2 linked regions of the Drosophila melanogaster genome follow. The protein of the gene in region 1 interacts with the protein of each later gene in a pairwise test. Each region holds a gene or a part of one and is shown on either strand. Other genes may lie near its edges.

Region 1 (8,585 bases):
CCTGCTTCCGTATAACCGTTCCCTCATCCGCACTATTGACCGTCAACTGCAGACCATTGAGACATATTTCCGGCACTAAGCTGGCAGTTGTTCCACTGCTGGGTCCCTCGGTTGTGGATGAGATGAGCGGGGCCAGCTGACCATCGACGGAGCTGGAGACTTCATCATCGGTGGTTGATGCCACCGTTGTTGGGGCCCTTGTGGTAATACTGATGGGCTTGGCCTGCTGACTTGTGGGCTGTGGTTTGGTTATTCGAAGGGGAGCGGACTTCTTGGTGGGTGATGTCAGGTCAGCTCCATGGCACTCCAAGACGCAGAACACAGTGACTAGGATGCATAGAAGAGCTGCAGAGGACAACAATGAATTAAATCTTATTCGTATAAGATGGAAAATATCGTCGTCCTTAAATTTAAAGTAACTTTGTTCTGGTTAGCATGGTTGATTGACTAGTTAATTGATTGAATTACTCAATAAAGGAATTCACTTAAACCATATTTGCAATGGAATTTTCTACACAAACTCAAGCTTGAATGGCATTTTGAGAAAAATACAGGTCTTGAAATATTCCCGGAAAAAGAAATCCCCTCAAGTTGCCATTCATTCCATTGCACTTCACTTCTGCCTTACGACATTTACTCAGCACTCACCCACTGGTAATGGCTTTCTCCGTCCAGATTGCAAAGCGTCCATGACCTTCATTTCTAAAGTTTTAAAGGTTTTACAATTAAATACAAAAAATGTCCGTTGATAATTAAGCAATGCAGCAGTCTTTCCTTCAACATGTACTGATAATTGATATCATTTTATTTTTATTTTGATAGCTAGAAGGAAGAAAGAAAATGGTAAGTTGGATATTAGCCAGTGTGCAGAATTGTATTTTTTATTTTTTGCCGGCCACTTCAACCATTTTGCCGACTGCGTGGAGAGTGCTGCACTTTAATCGCATTAAAAATTGTCACACTAACACAGACTTTGTTGGCTTGGCATAGTTTCCACTTTTCCATGTCTGTTTCTTCGTGATTTTGCCCACTATCAGTGCAAAGTAATACGGTGGAAAAAATTTCTGTTTCGCATATTCTCTCACTTCGGGAAAATCAATAGAGGTTTTTTGTGGAAGCCGAATTCTGGAATTTATGGCACTGCACACACTTATTGCACAGATTCACGCACTAGACCCACTGACAGTCAGAGCCACAATAGTTTTGGGCAACAGCAATTGGCAAAAAAAAAAAACAAAGAAAAAACAACAAGGGAACACAAATTGAACGCCTCAGTGATTTTAGGGTCAATTAAACGTTTCTCGTTTTATATTTGTCCAGTGATGTACGCAGCACTCAAACCGTACATATATATTTATTGTTGGCCCACGAACAACCAATTTGATTTGGTAAGCCCCTGTGTTAACGGGTGCAGCATTGCAGTTGCCCGCACAATGCAATTATGTTCTATTCGATTTTTTTTTTGTCTCTATTTCAGTTTATTTTATTTTAGTTTTTCCGTTTTCGAACCCACCCCCTGGAAAACCGAAGGCGGAACACTGATGTGGCAATGTTTTGCACCTGTTTTGGCCGTTTTGTTTTGACTAACTTGGCTGAGGCCCGGCACTCGCTGGTTGTTATGGTTATTGGCTCAAACAGTCACTCACGAAATTGAGTGCTTTCCACGTCGAGTGTACAATTTCCCATAATTATACAAATAAATATGTACACCCCGAAGCCAGTTCAAATATTGGTCATTGCAATTAGCCAACTTGCTGGGCAAAAGGGTTTCGGGTTTCAGGGTGGAATAGGGTGGCCTGTCAAAGGTGCCGATCAGTAATTGCAATTTGGCCAGTCTTACAGTTCGGCACTTGTGGATAGCTTGCACAATGTTTGCTATCCTCGTTGGTTTATCAAAATGTTTTATTTTATTTTATGGCTATCCAATGCAAACTGTTCAGTGGAATATCCTTGAAAACAGAACCGACACTCGTGCCTTGGGCTTTGACATTCGTATGGCACTTTTCCGGGTTTTGGGGCTTTGCATAACACTTTTAATTCACGTCAAACGCAACATCAGTTGAAAAGTAAGCATTTTCATTTGGCCACGTTGCATAAGTTTAATTTAGAGCTCAATTCCTTTAGGGGGTTTAACTTTAATTGCCCAAAAAGCAACTATATGGCCTTATTAAGCTGTTTGGCTTTTTATTTAAATACTCATTTTACTTTGAATAGACGCACCAATATCTTACCGACGGACCACGTCCACGTTTAAACTGTTTTGGCCAACTGAACTAGCGGAAGAACTTGCAGAGCCGCGACACTCGTAAGCCCATAAAAATGCAGCTGCAGGTTAGGGCTAGTGGGGGTGGTCTTAGGCCTTATTTTCCACTCGACTCAGTTTTACCCGGTTGCCGGATGGGGGTGATGCCTTGTTTTGGCCAGCTCAGTTGATTCTTGCTTTGCAGTCAATATAATATGCACTTATTAGTGACACCAATGGGCATTACTCAGCGAGAATCGGGATTGCCAAGGGCCAAATAGGTCAGTTTTATGCTCAATGTAAGCTGTTCACATAACATAAATAAGAATATGAAAGCCAGTTTTAAATTTTGAACATAGTTTAATTGTGATCCTAAAAATGAATTAAATGAATACATGTACGCCAGGTACGATAAGTTATAGTTAATTTGTCGAAACATTTGATCCAATTTTTTTTGGCTTTACATTATCAGAAATAATTTAGGTCATGCCAAAAGTAATATTTAAATAAGTATTAAGGCGATTTCTAGGAATGGGTTCCCCTTCAGTTTGAATGCTCCTTTATCTTCACTCCAGTGGCTTTACTGACCATCTCCGGCGCCTTGGTTGGCTCCCCTTCGATTTAATTTGCGGTTGGGCCGGCTCGTAGTTGCTCCACTTGGATACTTGAGGCCACAGTCATCGTCCTCGCTGCCGGTCGAGATGTCCGAGGAGAGCTGGAAGTCATCCACTTCGGTGTAGGTCTCATCCGTACTATCGTTGGGCGTTTCGATCTCCGTGTCGTCAACCTTTTTATTTTTCTGACTACCTGCGAGGGTCCTAGAGCTCATGGCTGCTGGCTGACAAAGTCCACCGTTTGAATTTTTCTTGGGTATCAAGATGTCCTCGAGACTGGGCAGTTCAGCCGACATCTGACCATTCATATCCTTCACCTGATTGCAGTAGCGCTGGATATTATCCAGGACTTCTTGCACGCCCACATCAGATGATTTTACAACTAAACTTTGCTCCGATGACGACTTTTGTGCAGCAAGAACTGGCTGCTGAGCTTTGCAGATGCTACGATAGGCACTGGAGTTCATTAGGGACTCGTTATGGTCTTTTTTGGCGCTAATAGGCATTTTGCTTTGATTCCTAATCACTTTTCCTGGTTGTTGTTTTAAACTATGCGACGGTTTCTGTGTCAGATTCTGACTGACTGAGGCCGCTGCTTCTAAGTTCGCCTTCGAAAGACTCAGCATTTCCTGAGTGGGCTTTCCATTCATCAGCGATTGATGCTGGTAAAACATTTTATCGTACTCGGATTTCATGCACAAGTACCGAAAGTGTCGCGAATTTTCCTCACCGAAGTAAATTACCTCTGCAGATGCCAAAAAATAGTTACATATTATAAATACCAAATAAACACTGAAAGTAAATAAACTCACTGCTAATGACTTGTTCCTGCAGCTTATCCAGGTTATCGTTTGTCTGCTTCAACTCGCCCGAGAACCTTTCGATTTTGTGGCTCAGATCGCGAAAGTTCTTTGCCAGAGCATCGGATATGGTGTTCTAAAGAAAGTGCATAGTGTATTAACTAATCAACTAAGGAACTTATGCGAAACTCACGCCAACGGCCGTTTTGACAGTCTGGCGGATCAGGTCAAAGAACTCCTCAGGATCTTCCTCCTTATCTTCATCGTCATCGGCGGTACTCACGTGCACCTTGCTCGCCGGAACAGGCTGTCGCCCACGCATCTGCTTCTGATGCGGATGCGGATGCTGATGCTGATGCTGATGCGGTTGCGAATGCTGGAGGCGCTGCTGTTGCTGATGCTTGAGGTGGTTGTGAGTAGTCATCTGCTGCTGCTGGTGCAGCTGGTGTTGCGGCGGATGCTGCATTGCTCCGGATTGCAACTGCATTTGCATTTGATGGGCATGAGAGTGCGGATTGTGCCGGCGCATATTTCCCATGTTTCCCTGCTGGGGCACCATTAGTTCCTTATCGGAGTAGTCGTCGTTGTCATCCATTGGATAGTCGTTCCTCTGGGTATTGCCCTTTTCGCGGTGCTTCATTCGGTATGTCTCCTTCGACTTGGACATGCCATAGCCATTAGGGTTTACCGTGCCTTCGGCCGGGCTAAAATGCGGCACCTTGTTCATCGGCGCCTGACGAGCACTGGCCTTATTGGCCATTTGGTTTCGCCTCGAGGGCATGGCGTTATATGGAGATGGCTGGACATGGCCGGGAATCATTTGCGATATTGATGGCTGCGCCATCGAACCGGGGGCATTTCGCAGATTGGCCGCCGTCAACGGCAGATTGGTGGTGATGTAGTAATCATTTTCGGTGACAAAACTGCGCTGAGTGCGAGCATCGACTTGTCGGGAGCTAATGGTTCCTCCACCGCCAGTTGCACCGCCTGGACCCGATCTCTCAGCCCTTGCTGTTTTCTTGGTCACACCTGCATGGGATATCGCTACCGACTTTACCGGATGCAAGGAATCCATTTTGGAACCATAGACCTCCTCGATTCCCTTGCGACGAATTGGGCGCACCATCTTCATCCAAAGGCTCTTTACTCACCGAAACAAACTTTCGTTGGCCTCGAGTTGCACCAATAAACGCAAAAGCACAATAATGTATAAACTGTATTTGATATATTTTACATCTATTTATGTTCTTTGGATGATTTAGCTAAAATGAATGAGGGATATAGAAAGATAGTGAATGTTATAACACCAGCCTACTGGATAGATAGATTGGATAAATATTACTCGTGTGAATAAACTGAAACATTAACGACATACATTTTCGTCGCATTTCGCATTTATCAAAATAATCAGAAATAATCGTTATTATGGTTATTTGTCAAATTTTGATTCACTTCCTTATACGAAGAGTATGAGTTGTACAATATATACATATTTACCACGGAATGATAGATCTCTGCACCTAAATCGCATTCATATTGATTACTCACTCCAGCGCTTCGTTTCTACCAAATTTATTTTCACACCTCAAACACCTCTTCATTATTCAAACCACAGGTGGTGAGGGAGTTTTCCCGTAAATTTGTTTACCTTTTGCCGCTCAACTAACCGCAAATGGCAATGACACAGAGCAAAGGTTCAATGTTTGCCCGCTTTGCCGGAAATATTTCTTCGGTTCGACGCCAAATCAAATGCTAATGAGCTGCATCTGATTGTGAGTGCGAAAGTGGTTTTGGATACCACTTGCTGTTCGCTTGGAAGTGGTTCATCGTTCAAGAAATTATTACAAATATTTATCCGATTATTTACCTTTGAACCTCCTCGGGCTGCCGTGTATCCAAGGCGAATGATTCGAATGCGTGGCATGGCCACGCTGGAGGAATCCTTAAGTAGGCAACTAGCTTTAAGGTCATGTCTGGACTGCTGAAAATAGACCGCTTAGCCTCAGGTTACAGACACTTAAGACATAAAGGGAATGCAAAGCGAAAGGGATTTAGAAAGGCGCTCAATAAAGTGCTGAAGGACCCTTAAAAATTGGGTCATCTGTCTGTGGGGACGGTGCCTTGAAACGGAAAACCCATGATGCCCATGCCAACTCCTTGTCTCATGTCCTCATTATGCAAATTGCGCATACGACGCGTGTGCTGCTGCCCACTGCAGGAGGCCTTCTCCCCTTTCCGCAAGCAAATCATTTTGTTGACAATCTGTTGCATGCGAATGCTATTAGGAACGAGATGATATCTGTGGGAATAATTTTCATTTAATGTACACCCTTTTCATTTTCTCTTCCCCTAAACGACCCCAAGAACAGCTCATTTAATTCGTTTTGTGTGTACCCTAGTCATAAATATAAATGAACCATGAACGGCCGACAACAGTTGACTATAATTTAAGATCCTGGCCTGCAGTTGAGCCTTGAATTTCCATCCTCTGCATGTGTGCGCATAAATATTGCAACATTCGAGGAAGCAACAAAGGTCAGACAGGCTTTATTTGTTGCAAATGCGCAGAGAAGCTGCCATTAAGCCTTTGAGTCCCATCTGAATGACGTTCATGTTGACATTGTCATGGTGATACAAAAAATAATCACCATTATTAGTTGTTCCGGCCAAACTGACTTGATTGGCCACTGATTCTATGCCATAGACTGTTTGGACTGATTATCAGCAAAATGCCAACTGACTTACAGAGCAAAACGTGAGCCATTCCAAAATTAATATAAGTCATTAGCATTATGCGGAACGATAAATTTTAATGGGACTCGGCATTAGAATTGCTTAAGGCGGAGATATTTCCAAGAAATTTATCACCCAAAAAAGTCGCCCCGCGGCGCAGATAAATCATCCAAATGGTGACCACAAATTGTACAGCTTTCGTAAGGCACATGAAATACGAAATGTTTGCACTGGCACTTCTTTATTTTTAATTGCAGGCCCAGTCAATTAAAAGGCAAGTGAGTGTTGCAGCATTTCTCTCACGCATAAATTTGTCCCCTGTCAACAAGATCCTCAAGACTTTTCATGATTTTCCGAATACTTTGCCACTGCCCACCCATAAAACGTCACTTGCACGATTTAAGGTATCTATTTTTGGTTTGATGGCAAAACATTTAATGAGAATTTCTAAACAGAGCACTTTTCTTGTTAAATTTAATCAGTAATGATTAAACTGAGAACCATTTCTTCTTAAACGAAGGGAAAAAATTGTAAAAAAAATTAATTAATTGAGGCAGACAACAAGTAAAAAGAGAATTAACCAAAAAAATATGTGTATCCATAAAGAGCATTCAGCTATCGAATAGCTAGTGATTGTTCATCTTTCCCGATTGTATTTATATTAAAAAGTACATATATTAATACGGCCGGAGAGTAAATAATTGTACGCCTATTTATTTGCTTAATTTAAGAGCTATTTATTGCTGTTTATTTATTTATAAGTATCCCCGCTGACAGACGAACATGACGAGCGAGAATTTCCTCCTGTTCTCAGTCTTTCTGGGCCGTGTGCTTTATGACAAAATGTTCACAATAAATAAATGCTACAACGAAATAAATTGCCGCTACAGATATCATACAAATAAATTTGCTTATTTATGCGATGCTGCCAAAGTTTCCAACAAATTTTTGCGATTCGAATCGAGTGGCTCATTGGCGTTCTCATAAATGCAGCTGCTGTCGCTTTGTTTTGTTTCGGCTTTTAATAAAAAATTACCGACTCGACTTTGATTGTTGATGATTGTTTTCTGAATTTTGATGGCTTTTTGTCACGAATTCAGAACGCAGCATTTCTTTATGTTGCCCATTTTTTATACGCACTGAAGATCAGTGGGGTACGTGTTTCCTTTTTTTTTCTGTATTTTGCCTGTTCGCAGAAAACTGAATGAACTGAAAATACAATTTTTTGTGGTATTTGGGTCAGCAGATTTTTTTTTTTTTTTTTTGCCTCACTTCACTGGGATCAATTAAAGTCATAAACAATTCGATGCATTTTACAGTAGAGTGCAATGCTTTCAATAGGTATGTTTCTTAACTGAGCGATGCAATTAAAAGTAATATGTTTGTGTCTTGTTTTGCATAGGTATAACTGGTATCCAGCTTATCAGCGCGTTTGATAAGAAAGCTCGCAACCTGCAAAATGTTGCTCAACAATAAGCTTTTGTAAGCCGGCAGCAACATAAACAAAGAACAGCTGGTTTAGCCGGCTAACTGAGAATGAAAATGTGGGGTGAAATCAGGCAGGTCACTTGTCGTGTGCCTTCGTGTTGCCATCGTCGGCGCAGCAGCAACAGCGGCAGCAGCAACACTAGCCGCAGCAACAGCAGCAACATCAGAAGCCGCAGCAGCAGCAGCAGCCCAAACAGGAAAATCCGCACGACGATGCCACACACAGAAATTCAGTTCAATGCGAAATTTTGTTTGAACCAGACGCGAAATCTGTTAACGCCGCGTGGCAAAAATCGCGTTGGCGAGTGCGTAAAAATTGTCAACAACGACAGGAGCTCAAAATAAAACATTAATTAAAAATTAGTGAACTGTTTTAAAATATTAAAAAAAAAAAATATATTCTAAAAAATTATATGAAAAATATACAAAATCAAAAACAACTACTCAAGCGTGTAAAAATTTGTTTTGCATAGAAATCAAGTCAACGCGTGTGTGGATCTCGAGATACTCGCTTGTAAGACAAGATAGTCCGGCTAAACGAAGCTCATCGAAGTCAATCGCCTGCAGTGAAATCGCTGGCCAATTGACAGTGCCGCTTGTTTAACACATTTCTTAACACCGAACCCAGTTGCAATTTGAATTCAAAGTGTAATTTCAATTTCCATTTCGAGTGCACAATATTCAATTGGAATTGCAATTGCAATTGCA
Region 2 (7,975 bases), on another chromosome or scaffold:
TGCAATTGCTTTTCAAATGATTGTTTTTGGACTGCGAGCGCACCGGCAACAGCACTCTCTACGATCGCTTTTAACTGAGCTTCAAATTCCATTTCGCTAGTTGTCTTTGTTTTTGACCACCAATTATCTGATGACCTATTATTTTTTTCTGCACTGTTTTGCCTACTTGCCTGGTGCGCTGACCATTTATTTAAGCTTGACACTAGGTTGTCCAAAAGGTTATCACTGTCACTCATGTATTTTTATTATCAATACTCTTTGCATAGGTTATAATATAATAATAATAATAATATTTCCAATTCGTTCAACAAGCGTTATACTTACAATATAATAATAGTGATTAACAAACAATTTTAAGGTAGATGGTCTTAGTAATTAATATTATACTTTATGTAATCACGAAACTTTTATTTCTTAGGTTAGAGTTAATTAGCCAAAGCCGCTGGTTTTGTCTCCGGATCCTCCTTTTGTTATTTATTTATAATTATTCAGTTATCGTAGGTTTTTATATCCGTTTGGGCGCCAATTATCATTTTAGTAGATTTTCCATATATTTATTAGCGTAAGTTTATTAATTACAATAGGGCTTGCGCGGTCTGCACTTAATGAGACGAATAGTAAGTACGTGGCGATGACCGACGCTTCTAATCTTCCAAAATCGACTAACTTAAGTAAAGCAAGAGTTCTTATCTCTAAAGCTTAACAAGTTACAGTTTCTTATAGGTAAAGCTCGATCTATAGATGGGAAAAGCACTTGAGGCTTACGACTATATTTCGGGTGTTTTGTGATTGTGTTAACTTATACATGGCGTATGAGTGATATTTGGCTGAATTGATCAATCGCTGTTATTCCTACCTAGAAATCACACTTTGGGCCAACACATTAAGGCCGCTTAACTAAATGCGTAAATTAGCATCGTTGGCCACATCAGCTGAGCCATAAAATCCGCACACAAAGGCATTTGCGGATTGCATGTGGGTCACCGTGGGCATAGAGCGAAGGAGCCAGGACGAAGGTAGCGCGGCTCGGTGATTTTGCAGTAATTGAAACCATCAAAGTGTGAGAGAGTCAGGCAATTACAGGCACTGCGATAATATTAATGTGGGGGCGGTCACCGTTGTTGGGTCCTCGGTCTTATCGCAAATGCGGCGAATATTATCTGCGATAATGAGAAAACTAATTGTGAGCTATGCAAATGTGGCACCACCAGATGCACCTGTCCGTATTGTGAGCACACATGCATACTGTATGTGTGTATGTGTGTGTGTGTGTGTGTGTGTGCGGCCGGAATTACCAACACAGTTCAAGTGTGAAAGCAATTAGATTTGATAGTGTATCGGCTTCATTTAAATAAACGGATATTGCAGTCGCTGGCAATCGCCAAAGACGATAAGATAGAAGAAATAATCAGAATCTTCAAGTTTGAAAGACACATTAAAATATTTTATATTTTTAATATAATATATGTTTAGTTTAAGAAGTGATCCTATTTCCCATAGCCTGCCAACATAAAACGCACCATTTGATATTCAAACGTTATTATGTTGAAAATGAAACTAAACCTTGGTAAGACTCGAGTGGAAATTACAGGTGAATAGCAGGTGAGTGCGAATCATGTGCACTTGACATGAACTGACAGCAAATTGATGCAATTTCGTCACATTATCGACAATTCATTTGCAATTAGATTGGAACAATTTCTGTTTGTGTATTGCTTATGGTATTGAAATGGTAAATAAGTTGTTAAAATGTATTGGAAATAATAGATACAGTACATAACATTTCAATACGGGTACATACCTCTTAATCCTTTCATTCGGAATTTTAAAATGATTTATCCATGCCACTTTAAATTATATTTGTATTTTATATCACCACACCATTTAAATTTGATTAAACTTATATCACTCCAATATCACTACACTTAAAAAAATAAATAAAAAAAGCAAAGCAAAAGTCGTTGCTATATTATACACCGTAATTATGTGATTTGTGTATTTATATACTCATTTTCCTTACATTTATTTACTTGTAGCTTACTTGTAGTAAGCTCCCAATATGCACTATTCCTCATCGTGAATTCACATTGAATGAAAGCGAAGTTTAATGAGATATTGAAGATCAACCAAGAGATAAGCCGAAAATCTGCGCACTTTCGCGTTTTTCTTTACTTCACTTGCTGATCTTCCGTTGTTTCGCACTCTGGTATTTGTGCATCTGTTATTCTCCTTGCTTCACACCGTTTTTGTCACTATCCTCAATTGTGACAGCTCATTACCTGCTCTCAATTTGGCTCTCCCCCCTTCCCCCTTCCAATCTAACAGCATCACCGTTACTTGTGTAACTCGCAGTTCAATTACCTCGCTAATACGAGTTGTCTCTTCCGATGATTCCTCCGCCTTCATGAGCTATAGCCACATACATACATATATACCACACATGTACTTATTTGCGGAGATGCATCCCCTTCTTCACCGCTTGTAACTCGAATTCGTTAATTATTTTGACAGTCGGCCATGTTGACAGCCGCAAAAGTCAACGGGATGAGAGAAATGGTGAGTGAATGGGGGAAGAGTAAAATAGCTTAACAGTTAAGAGATGACGAAGAACAGATACTCTAACTTAAAATTGCGTATAAGTTTTGAAGTTGACAGTTCGAAAAAACTAAAATAAACAAAAATAAATTATTAATATCAATTTAGTTTTGCATCAAATCAGAAAACGCAATGAAAAGCATATGTACATACGAATTTGCTTTTCTAAAGTATTTCTTTACTTTTGCATTTTCAGAACAAACCTGATGTGTAAGTGGAGTGACCCGATCAATGTGCAGGCAATGGCTTGAGAGGTTCTGTTGTGGCCACATGAAACTTGCATGAGGCGCCGTCTTCCGCCCATTCCGGAATGTGTGTGGCAGCCACAGCCATTTTGGCCAACCACTGATTATGCCACATCCGAATTGGACATGTCAAATTAGCCACGACATAAACAAGAACAGATACATATGTACATACGCATGTACATATGTACATATGTTATCGAAGAAGTCAAACTTTAACTCACCCACTCCAAAATGATTACTGCTGAGATACTGAAAAAAATTTTGACAATGATTTGGAGTCCCTTAATATACAAGAGACTATTTTTGTTTTTTACATAATGGTTATTTAATCAACACGCTTATAGCTAATTACACAGATCGAGGATTAGATTTTGGGCCTGTAACTGAGGGCCGCAGCAGCATTTCCCAGAGCAGCCAACCGAGGATGATGCCGTAGGCTAGCCAACCGAGGAGCAGCCGCCGATGCCGCCACTAAATGATGGATATGTCCTTGACATCCTGCTTAAGTTCGCTGTTATGGTTATTGGCAATAAAGTCGCGCCTTAAGGCGTTCCAATTCGGATCGGGATAATCCTTGAGGAGGCTCCAGTTCGGCGAGGGGACATCCGGCGAAAGCCAGTTAAAATCGGCCACATCCGTATAGTTGTTCTGTGCCTTATTCAGTCCAGAAGCTAGGTAGTCGGCCTCCAGTTTGGAATAATCGTAGTTGTACTCTCCGATCTCAATACTCTTGCAATCCTCGATTATTGCGCGGCAGGTGACATGCATGTATATGCGAATGGACCGGGAGGAGTGCAACCTCAACTGCTGGCAGGCAATGGAGAGGGTGCAATCCTCGAGATTCTCGGCGAAGAAGGAGCGTGCGATGGGGCCGCATAGCAGCGTGCATTTGGAGGCCCTGGAAACCTGCACAGAACCGGGATGACCCTGCAGTTCAACCAAACAGTGGTTCAGTTTCGATATTGTGATGTCCTGGCCATTGACTTTAGCGGAATCCAGGACTATATGCTCGTTCGTTCGATTGGCAATCGTCCACGTGAAATTGGAGCCTAGTTTTTCTGGGACTTTACTGAGTTTCGCGTCGACTATATCCTTATTTGGAGGGACTTTTGGCTTTGTGACGGTCTTTTTGCCACTGAAACCAAACTTTTTCTTGGGCAACAGGCGCTGGCGGGTTTCATCACTGACGGCGGTCAGGGTGTTAAGGATATTCTGACAGGATTTGATCTTGAAGTCGGGCAGAAACATGGTGGATGCGGTGAGATATCGCTGCAGATCCTGGATCTCCACAGTTATGTCGGCGAAGTTTCTGGCCAAATCGGTTGGCTGGCCATCGCCGCACTGCACATCCTTTAATCGCTGCTCTATATCCATGGTTTTTTGGCTGAAAGTCTGGTAGAAGTAGTCAACGCCCTCGTTCTGCACTGTTTCCTTGGAACGCAGCTCCGATTTCACATCCAAATAGTTTTGCCTGTCCTTGTTTCTTTTGTTCAAACGCTCGAGGATTTGATCCTTGCGATTTTCCGCGTCGCCTTCCATGATTTTCGGTATCAATCTATAACGAAATATCTGGTTAAAAATCAATTTCTAGGGCATAACTTCTATTTGGCCGTATGAATCACAGTTGTTGTTGTTTTTCTTGCCAAGTTGCGCAGCTGCAGAGAAATGCATGGAAAACGCGGCTTTCTTACTGGGCACGTATCATATGCGCAGTGATTGTAGTTCAAATTAAGAGAAATTATATTATTTTTATTCTGTTTATTAACCTTTTGTTTAATTTTCTTATTATTTTGTGCAGCTGCTCACAATAACAAATGTTGCCTAATCGTTGTGAGTGTCAACAGTTATGTACTAAAAAAGACCAAACAACATTACCGTTTAATGCGCACGGTGAATGGCAACGGCGGCAAGAAGAAGAATACGCGCCAGGGAAATTTTAGATTTGAATTTTTTATAGGAGAAATGCGATAATATTAATTATGAACTCTTGTAAGCAGCGTAAGAAACTTAATACAATCAAACATCTCGCCGAACACAAAGCACATTGAATGTCGCCCACAGAAGCGATAAATTCTTGATAAATGCAAAAACGGAATTAAATTTAAATTATGGGTCTTATCTTTTTTGCTCTGTAGAACCTTTTACATAAAATGCGGATCAGTACGTTTTATTTCTGCGCTTGCAGTGGTTGTGCGATATCAAAATGTTTAGGCTTGAAAAATGTATTGTGTACTTACTTGTTGCCTGCAATCTGGTTGAATCACGAGCGGAATCCACAGAAAATTCCCGATCCGTGTGCCTTCTGAAAGATCCGCCAAATCAGTGCGGAGAATTCTGCCTTTCGGTGCTCCAACCGCTATTGGATCACATTGTAAAGCACCAGGAGCAATGGAACACCTCCGAGGCCCTCTGGCTGAACGAAACCCAGGGCAAATTGGACAGGATACAGACCCAGCTGGCGGCACAAGCGCTATCCTTGGAGGAATCAGCGCAGAAGGTTCCAGGAGACATCAAGGATAGACTGGACCGAATGGAACATCTTCAGACGACACTGCAGGAGTCTCTAAAGAAAATGCCAGCTGAACTCGATGCGAGGCTAATGAAAATGGAAAATCAGCAAAAGACATTGGGCGACCAGTTGGAAAATCAAATCAATCTCACCAAGGAATCTCAGCAGGATCAGTTGGAAGCCCTAAAGAACGCCATGCCGATAAATTTCGAAATGCGGCTGGCTCAGATTGAAGAACAGCAGAAGTTACTTCAGGAAACTCTAAAGAAGATCCCAGAGGATTTTGAACGGAAATTGCAAAAGTTGGAGCAGAATCAGAAGGATGAGCTGACCAAGCTGGGAGCTCAGCAGTCCGCCAACCAAGTCACACTCAAGGAAATTTATACCAAGGTCTTCTGGCCGAAATTTGAGCGAATCGGCTCTAGACTCTTCTACATAAATCACAAGGATGCCTACGACTGGCAATCCGCTGTAGACTTCTGTCGTGACATGGGTGGCTATATAGCCGCCATCAAGGATCAAGAGGAGCTGGACGCCATTTCAGCGAGACTGGACGACAAGAGCTACTGGCTGGGCATAAACGACTTGCAAAGCAGTAACACCTACGTATCCGTGGCATCCGGCAGGGAAGTTGAATTCCTCAATTGGAATGCGGGCGAACCCAATCACGGCAATGAAGATGAGAACTGTGTGGAGCTGATTAGGAGCAAAATGAACGATGATCCGTGCCACAGAAAGAAGCATGTTATTTGTCAAACCGACAAAGAAGTTTAAATGAAAACACTGTCTTTGCATATTCGAAATAAATAAAAGATACAGATACTAAAAACTATTCCCAAACTGTCGTAGAAAGTTGATTTCTCTTTGCGGCGCTCTTTTACCTTTTAGTTAAATACATAATCGCAGTATGTATGTAGTTATATATAGATAGAGTAGTTATAGTTGTGTGCTTGATGTGTTGTGCCCTACTGCGTGCAAATGTCCTAAAAAGCATTTGTACTTCTAACATTCATCCTTCGTTCGCAACATTTCAACACTTAAGTACTAGAAAAATATTAAAGACATATTTATTCCGTTCCGATATTTGGTTGTAACTTAGTAACTCGATTTGGGTTCGTGATTCCTGTGCATCCTGATTCTAATTCCGCTTCCGCTTCTCGTTTAAGGCACATTACACATTCCTGAATATGATGTGCGTTTTACATAGTAGTAGTAGTAGTAGTAGTAAATATTAGATAAACACGTTAAAACTATTGATTTGAAATTCACTCGCTAAATTGCGTGGGAGTTTGTGCTTCATAGTCAGCGGGAAATCCTCGTGTGACGGAACGAGTTCCAGCTCTACAATGCATATGACCAGCAATTGACTAAAAAAAAAACTAATCCACCACGACCCCAAAATCGAGGCCAACAAATATTGAAAACCAAAGGTAAGTAAATTTCTCGGAAATGTTTTAGCGCATCCTTGCCAGATCCTCCTTATATAGATCATGATAGCTCGCCAATTGGTGCATTCTGAAGCCACAGATCGTGAATGAAGTTGTAGAGATTATCGCTGACAGCCACCTGAAAAAAAGTGAGACATTGGTTAGACCCTTTTCGTAAGCCAAATCAAATGATTACACCCACCTTGTAGGGCGTCGGGTTGAGCGTGCGCTTGTGATCGTTGCGCAACGTTTTCAGCGAGATTTGCACCTTCTCGCGTACCTGCTCCAACGTGGGCAGCTGCTGGCAAATCTTGCCCGACTTCCAATACACCTTGTAGAGCGACTCCACGTGCGAGGGTATCACGTAGGCACGCTTCGACTCCTGGAACGGATGCCGGCACAGTACCTTCTGTCCCACCGCTGGCGGCGGCTCCGATACCTTCTGCAGCAGATCGATGAGCGCGTGACCATCGGCGCTATACAGCCGATAGGCATTCTTGTTGCCCGGCATCGTCACCTTCTCCACGTCCTGGCTCAGTTTGATACGCGGCTGGCCGTTGATCTCAACGAGCTTGTACACACAACCCAGCGCCGGCTGTCGTTGGCAGGTAACTGCAAAATACACAATATTTACAACACATTCAAGATTTCAAATGTACATAAGTACAGCAAACTCACCCAAATGCGTGCCAATGCCAAAGCAATCGATCTTGTGCCCCTGTTCGTTGAGACTCAGAATGGTGTCCTCATTGATGTCGTTGGACGCCACAATGGTCAGCTTGTTGAACCACGGCACCTTGAATCGCTCCGCCACCTTCTCGAACGTTTCGCGTGCCAGGCAGGAAAGATAGGCCAGATCCCCGGAGTCGATTCGAATTCCAAGCGCATGGTAGCCCAGATCGTTGAGGGCCAAGGCCACAGCGCTGAAATTCAGCAAGCCACTCCTGTGGAGAAGAAATCACAAGCATGTGTTTAGAAGTCGCATCTATGGATTCCAACAAGTGCTGCTTGGTTTTTGGTTTTCAATTCAACGTTAAACTCATTTTACTCATTTTGCTATACAATATTTTAAATTTGGTTTTTGGTCACTAGTTTGAAAGCGAGAATTACGCAAATTCAAATGTTTCGAAAGTGAGGTGGAGCTATAAAACGTGTTTCAGAACTCAAATTGGTTCTCTTCGATTTGCAGGTGCGGC

What was found. The genes of interacting proteins can lie anywhere in the genome.
Region 2: the proteins of CG14540 (region 1) and Tbcc interact in a two-hybrid assay, tested with the Drosophila melanogaster proteins (one large-scale study listed by BioGRID).

Annotation. Positions count from the first base shown.
Region 1 is NT_033777.3:25,955,679-25,964,263, reverse strand, and holds CG14540 (uncharacterized protein), read right to left. Parts: upstream 4,986-8,585; 5' UTR 4,789-4,985; coding exon 3,850-4,788; intron 3,793-3,849; coding exon 3,669-3,792; intron 3,602-3,668; coding exon 2,823-3,601; 3' UTR 2,578-2,822; downstream 1-2,577. Other genes in the region: boss (bride of sevenless), read right to left, coding at 1-345, 649-700.
Region 2 is NT_033779.5:4,183,102-4,191,076, forward strand, and holds Tbcc (Tubulin-binding cofactor C), read right to left. Parts: upstream 4,693-7,975; 5' UTR 4,466-4,692; intron 4,399-4,465; 5' UTR 4,383-4,398; coding exon 3,315-4,382; 3' UTR 3,149-3,314; downstream 1-3,148. Other genes in the region: lectin-24Db, read left to right, coding at 5,047-6,126; Naprt (nicotinate phosphoribosyltransferase), read right to left, coding at 6,841-6,918, 6,982-7,391, 7,458-7,723.